Linked DNA regions of Coturnix japonica. The protein of the gene in region 1 purifies or fractionates together with the protein of each later gene. This does not show direct contact. Links are inferred from orthologs where the notes say so. Each region holds a gene or a part of one and is shown on either strand. Other genes may lie near its edges.

Region 1 (3,593 bases):
ACATCCTCGACTGGATGCTGGCCAATGACAGCTGCACAGTCACCCTTAATTGCACGGCGGCACGAGGGGACAACATATCCTACAGCTGGGCCAGCTCTGAGGCCAGCACCTCATCACCCTGCACCCACAATGGCAGCCTCCTATTGCTCTCCTACGACCCCACCAACAGCAGCCTGGCTTGTGCCTGCACCGCCAGCAACCCCGTCAGCCGCCGCACCACTGCCTTCCACTCCTCCATCTGCAGCATTGAGCAGCAAGGTGAGCCCTCAGCACCTGACCCCACTATCTCCCCCACCTCCAGCCCCATGGGGGAATTTTCTCACATTGCTTTCGGTGCCCCAGAGGAACCTTTGGCAGGAAAAGCAGCCACAGCACCTCTGTGGGTTGCATGGCCATTCCCGTAAGCACTGAGCTGTGCTCGCTGCACCCCACTGCCCCAGGCTCGCTTGGCTGGGGATGATAAGAACCTCAGCTTCCCCCAGGAGGCTCTTGAGGCCAAAATTATGCTCTCTGTCATTGGGTTTTTCTTGCCCTCCCCTGTGACGTGGGGACTTTTGCTGTGGCCATGTAACACAGTGACTGTCCCTCACCCTGGGGACACAGCAGTGACACCACCTCTCTGTCCCCCACCCACATGGGGCTCTCACCATGCCCTATGCCTGGCAAACATCCCCACAGCATCTTTAGATCTCAATAGAGAGGGGAAGGTGCTGACATGAGATGCTACAGGGCATATTTCCCAGCACTGGGTCCCCCCCAGACCTTACACACACACTATAACACCCATATTAGTGGCAGCCCCTGTCCCCATCACCAGGGCTGGAGGTACAAAGCTCTGCCCCCAGGCTCCCCACAAAGCCTCCAGAGACGTGTCACAGCCTCATCCGGCCCTCAGCAAGGTATTTTTGCTGGCAGTTGCACTTTGTAGATGGTTATAGAGAGTTCAGCTCGCAAAAAAAACCAACCACATTTCCTGCTCTTTGCTATCATTCTACTGAAATCTTCAGCTCCACAAACAGACAAGAAGATACTGGGAGGGGTGGGGTTAACAATGAGCTCTCTGTTGGATACTGACCCTCACTCTCTCTGAGCCACAGGCAGCTGGAGGACAGGGATGCTGCTGTTGGGAGTGGTGCTGCCCATATTGATCCTGATCGTGATCGCCGGGGCCTTCACTCTGGTCTATGTGATTGCAAACATGAGTGAGTGCAGGGTATGGGGGTTTGGAGGTGAAAGGAGAAGCTCGTGGCCCCCCCAACCTCATGTTGGGGTGCCCCGCTCCTGTGAGGGGAGGGTTGAGTGGGGACCTGCTTTGTTTGAAGCCCGGGGTAACAGACAGGAAGGAAAGCAGCTTAAAAAAGAAAAAAGGACATAGATACCTGCTTTGCCTACTGTGTGACCTCAAGGGCTTTCTGCGGATGCTGCACATCTCTATATCACATGGCTTCAAGGGGAAAATGTGATCTCAAGAGAGCAACACCCCTGCAGAATACCCTGGTGAGGGTGCCCCGTGCCTCTGAGCAATGATAAATTCACCAAGCCAACGAGCCCAGAGACAAACAGCTGCATCAGGGTTGGATCCAACATAGGAAACACTGTGAACCCCTCGGGGGGAGGAATATGGGGCCAGTGGGGGTCCTGCTGCCACTCCATCCCCATGGTGACTTTGCTCTGTCCCCGATGCAGGACAACCAAGGGAGCAGTCGCCGCACACTGAGGACAGCACAGTGCACACCATCTACTCTCAGGTGCAGCGGGTAGAGGTGAGTGAGCCCTGCAGGGTGCAGCGTCCTAAAGCTGTGTCCTTGCAGCTGTATGGGTGATGAGCTTGGAGCACAGGGTGCCAATGAAGCCCTATAGCCAGGGAAAGTCGGGTCATTACCATCCAGGAGTGGGGAGGTTGTGGGCCTCTCCAAGTGTCACCTCCATTAGGGCCACTTTACTTTGGGACTGTTGCTCTCAGCATCCCAAGGGGATAAACTGTATCAGGAGGCCTTGTAGTGCTGGAGAAAGGGGAGAGCTGACTGTCATTACTCACTTTTTGCTCCCTGTACAGAAGCCAAAGCCCCCCTGCAGCCCCGTGGGCACTGATCACCCCACCTGCACCACCATTTACGCTGCAGCCACCAACGCATCCTTACCCCCATACAGCCCTCAGGTAAGTGGATGGATTTGATGGGTCCCACACTTAGCACCCCAATCCAGGCACCTCTCTCACCCCACTTTGCCTCGCAGAGCCCCAACACGGAGCCCAAGACAGTTTATGCCAGCGTGATGCTGCCCATCAGCTGAGCCTCCCTGCAGGGCAGGACCCGGCTCCGCTCCCGCACCCTACATCCAAACCCCGCATCCCTGCGGGGGACCTCGCACATCCCTGCGCATAAGAAGCACGCAGCTCCCGACCCCAAAGCATCGCGCTGAAGGAGCAAAGAGAGCCACAGAAGCAAGGCGAGAAAGCAAAGGGAGCTGCGTAATGAAGGGACCCGATAGCAGCAGCGCTCGGAGTGATGGACTCGCCAGGGGGAGCCCATAGAGGACAATGAGGGCTGCCTAACCACAGCAGAAAAGGAAAAGCAACGAATCAGAAGGTGCCCCGTAGGCGGTTCCGAGGTGTGCACAGAAGAAACCGTGTCACAACGAGGAGTCCCTGCGGTTCTCCCAGCTCTCCCGTGGACGTGGGAAGCATCACATCGCTTCTCCATCCCCTGGGCTGGGTGTCCAGCCGAGCTTGGGGGTGTGAGCAGCTCTGTGTCCCCACCTTGCACAGCATCAGGACAATGGGAGGCTCAGGGTTGTCAGCTCTTTCCAGCTGTGCCATAAACCCACTTTCATCTGGGCTCAGGCAGCAGGGCCGACCTCACCTGCTATGGAAAATAAACATATAGGAAAATGTTTCAGGAAGGTTTGTGAAAGAAAACACGAGGGCTGCAGCTGGGTCAGGCTCTGGGCGGGGGGGGGGGGGGGGAGAGAAGTGCATTTCTACACATCTCAAGCTTCCTCTTCTTGTTACTTCAGCAAAAATCAGCTGAGCTGCTTTCTTGGGAAGTCCTTTTGCAAAGCTGCTACTTCCCCAGGGGCACATCCCCATAACACCACCTCCTCCTCCTCTCCTTGTCCCCTACCAGCATGGGGGCAAAGGAGGTGCTTCCATTAAGGGTTTGGTAACACGATTACTACTTCTGTATTGAGCAACCATAACTTGCATGCACCCAGTGCTGAAGAAGCAGTTGCATTACCCCACAGGGTAAGCTGAACACACACACTACTTCCCCTCACCCTCCCATAGCCCAGCACTGGGGTGAAGAGCAACAGATGAACCCGTTCCTTCACCCCAGCAAGAGAAATCATCACAAGTTCAATGCTAGACATCCCCATCTGGCCTTACACACTTCCCCACTCCAATGTTGATATGGTGTCAGGATGAGACTGCTTCCCAAAATAAGCCCCATTGGGGAAGTAGCTGTTCTGTCTCAGCTGACCCTCTGCTGACCAGCCTGGCAAAGCCCTCCATGGGTCAAAGCACTGCATGGGTCCTCTCTCTCCATCCTCTTACCCTTTTGAAGCCTGCAGAGAGCCATGCTGCTGTAAGAACC
Region 2 (3,818 bases), on another chromosome or scaffold:
CAGTTACCTATACCTCCACCCAACTATTTGTTTCAAAATACGAAGAATTTTCAGGGGAATGCTGCAGCTCCATATGCTGCTCTAAAATCAATACCTAACAGGCTGCAAAACAAACGCAAGTCAAAGATATAAATCATTTTTAACAGGAATGCAGCTTGGACATTCGCTTTTTCATTGCTTAGAATCAGGGAAAAAACGGGCTAACATAGCTCTAATTCAATCACCAAAGCAACACAGAACTGCTCCCTTTGACAGACGGCCTGATGCATCTGTAGGCTTCGACATTTAGAGCTTTCAGCATGCTGCTTCTCTCTCAAGGTTATCTTTGGCCAGGGATGTATTCTACACACTGAAGGGTGGCTTAACCTATTACTTCTTTAATTTGGTTCCTGCAACAACAGCTCCTGTTAGCCTCGTGAAGGCTAACACAAAATTAGATGAGAAATATAGTGGGGAAGACAGATGCAGCTTCCAGCAACAGCAAACAGACCAAGCACCAAATACCATAGAAAAATATTTCTTATTAACAGCACCTAGTGCAGATTTACAAGAATATATGGGAACAAGGGAAGCTTCTTCTGCCAATAAAAGATACAGCATAAGATGCTTTGCTGTTGTTACTTTTGCCATTCTTTCCCTATCGCTGATTAAGTAACCAGACATAAAAGCATTGTACACAGCCAGAGCACACAGCAAAAAAAAAAAAAAAAAAAAGTATTCAACTTTTATGAACAGGGAATTTATCCCTTTTCAAATAGGCAGAATATTTGACTGCAGCACCCAGCTTTCCAGTGTCTCATTCCCTGAGTATTCTCACAATGCAATGATTCACATTCAGTAGCTAGAATTTAATCAGACAACCCTTACAAAAGGGAGGTCTTGTGATGCAATAGGAGTGCATCCTCAATTCCCACAGGCATCAATTAAGAACATTCAATACCTTACAGAATTAAGCTGCAAGTATCCAAAGACCATGATGGCACACTGCATTTCAGCATGTGAGTCAATATAACCAAGTCAGTTTAGATCCCACTTGCACACAAATGTTATGACTGCTCCAGAGACCAGTATAATATTGTTTTTACCTTTCCTCTTTCAACTTCTTTTGTTGTCATAACAATAACTCGAGAATTCTCCTGAAACACCATCCTCCAAAAATCATTCACTGTATTCTGCAGGCAACCTTGAGTAGCAATGTAGCTTTTTTTTGGCTTTGTGTTGTTGCACTTGGTTTCAAACTCAGGCTAGAGACAAAAACAATTTAAGAAATGGAGACAAATGCTCATTTTTAGAAGACCAACTTGGATTTAAAAGAGTAAGTAGGCATAGGTTGTGCCTGCAAGACTCATTTAGGTGGGGCATACTTACCATAATAATATTAGCATTGATATAGTCTGAAACAGGTTCATTTGGATCACCATCATGCAGAACAACTCTGGTATGATCAACTGGAAGAATATATTTATACATTAAGCAGTTGCATCCTACAATTGTGAGCATACAGCTATTTTTAAACATTCAACCAACAGGTACAATTCTTCCTGTTATCAGAAAGTGCTACATTGTGAAACTCTGCAAATCACTGCTAGAACACCCATCCCTTTTTCTGTTACTTAAAACAAGTTTCCAATCCATAACAACATAGATCACAAAACAAGTGTTTATCTGAATCAACGCAAATGGTCTCAAACACTGCTGGATTTGCACTACTCAGTTCTGTACCACAAATTAATCCTCTTAACTGTAAGCATTTCAGTTTGCCAAATGAAAGCATCATATCCCTAAACTGTTAAGTGAACGCTGCAGATAAACATTACAGAATCAAAATATCTGCAACTATAATGAGTAAATGTTTGAACACAGACTGGAAGCTATATGGACTAATACTGACAACATAAAAGAAGGACTTACCACTAAAGAGAAGAAAAAGCACAATGTTAAATTAACCCAGTCTTTTCCAGCTAAAATAATAAAGCACAAAAGTAATAGGCTTACACAAGAAATCAGTACTTACAGGGTAAAATGTTTTTGTATCTATTTTTGTTTTTGTTTTCTTGTCGCTGACCTTCTTTACGGCTATAGAGGAGTTTGCATTCTTGCTGCTGTAAAGTCTGCACAAAAACAGCACGAATAACTGGTGTCAGTAAAAGCACAAAAAAGACAAAGACCTGTTATAATGTTTCATCACTATAGAGATCCGTCCCTCATTCAAATGAGGACACTTGATTATAATAACAATCAACAGTCAGAGAATCGCTGGTTTACTCCATTCAGGCTACATACAGTATTGCTTTCAAAGTATGAAAAGGCACTGACACAAACAGAACACAGGTGTCAAGATTCTCTACCTGAGCTGTACTGGATTCCTCTAGGCCTTACTAGCTTTATTCCCCTCCTTCAGCTATTGCCAATCCAAAGCAGTGCCGCTGGAAAGCCCCTAAACCACATCCCTGAGATCCTTGCAGGCTGCAGCCAGATAATCTCCAGGCAGCCAAAGGGGAAGAAGGAGCTTACAGAAAACCCACCAAAGCACACCAACATAAGCAGCTGTCTCAGCTTCAAGGAAAGTGAGAAGACCTTCAGCTGTTAGAAGCATAATATTAAGATATTCTTTCCTATTCCCTTCAAACCACAATAGGATAAGAATATTCAAAACGCACATATGGCATTCGAAAGCCAGAAAGCAAATTAGCACTGAGTGCAACAACAGTACTTTGTAATTTGTGCCTTACTTTTCATAGAAAAGGTAATTAACCCTCTGAGTGAATCCTTTTCACAGACACAGCTGCTACAAAACTGGCTGACAAATAGGAATGGGTCAATACACCCAGGAGCAAAACGTGACTCCCTTTCTCCCATTGACACAAGAACATCTCACTAAGCCTGTACAGCCAAACATATTTTTCTCAGATTCCTCACATTACCATGCTGGTGGATTGGGGAGGTGTTAGGTAACTACCTACATGGTTATCCATAAATCATCCTAGTGCAGAAGCAATAAATCTGCATGGGGATTTTTCCCGTTGGCAAGGCCCTAATTTCTCAGTGTCTGGTTCCCAATTAATAATGACAGGGACAACAGTAATTCCATACCTCATAGCAGCACTGCTTAGTAGTAAATCCACGTACTTGCAATGAAGCAAAGGGGACAACGACCTCAGTGATTTTGCTCCAAGTTTTAATCTCAAAAGCAGTTTTGGTCTGACTAAAAGAAACACTCTGCCTTTGAAAGCTGCTCTCTTCACTAAGATCACCTTAATATTCCTCCACAGATTACTTTTACTTCAAAGTTCAGGCATGTCAGGCACATTTGCTCACTTCTATTTCAGTCTGTGTTATCATTCCCACCTCACTTAGTGACCTTGGACAGTTAAGCTCATCCTAAAGACAGGGAATCCAAAGAACAAAAGCAAAACAGAGCTGTGAGGTTTCACATACATAAAGCACAGAATGTGTATACCCATAAAGCATGTCTTGTCTGCATTAAGCCCAACTCTTGCCATAATGCAAAAATCTTTTAACTGCCATTATTACAGAGTGCCTTTATATAATATTAACACTTTTGAGTCTCTGCAAAGTGAAACGCCAAGCAAAGAACCAAAAGCTGAACTTTGCTAGCAGGTTAAAACATGGAAATAATTGTGTTGAAACAAGCTTCAAACACCTTTACTTCACACATTTAATGGTTACTGCTTTGAGCATCCCTGAGGAAAGATCCACGAGCAGCAAAGACTTCTAGCAAGCTGGCTACAAGAGGTACACAATGCAACAATAAATCTGGTACAGGAGTCCTCACTTTCTCTGTGCCATTCAAACAC

The links.
Region 2: the proteins of signaling lymphocytic activation molecule-like (region 1) and PTPN11 purify together in Homo sapiens (affinity purification with western blotting; 3 studies listed by BioGRID and IntAct, with this or other methods). This does not show direct contact. The link is inferred for Coturnix japonica from reciprocal best matches to the Homo sapiens genes SLAMF1 and PTPN11.

What each region holds. Positions count from the first base shown.
Region 1 is NC_029540.1:806,646-810,238, forward strand, and holds the end of signaling lymphocytic activation molecule-like, read left to right. Parts: coding exon 1-258; intron 259-1,097; coding exon 1,098-1,202; intron 1,203-1,686; coding exon 1,687-1,763; intron 1,764-2,056; coding exon 2,057-2,158; intron 2,159-2,235; coding exon 2,236-2,292; 3' UTR 2,293-2,901; downstream 2,902-3,593.
Region 2 is NC_029530.1:5,551,262-5,555,079, reverse strand, and holds part of PTPN11 (tyrosine-protein phosphatase non-receptor type 11), read right to left. Parts: intron 2,112-3,818; coding exon 2,015-2,111; intron 1,449-2,014; coding exon 1,369-1,448; intron 1,245-1,368; coding exon 1,086-1,244; intron 1-1,085. UniProt on the Homo sapiens protein: Acts downstream of various receptor and cytoplasmic protein tyrosine kinases to participate in the signal transduction from the cell surface to the nucleus. Positively regulates MAPK signal transduction pathway. Dephosphorylates GAB1, ARHGAP35 and EGFR.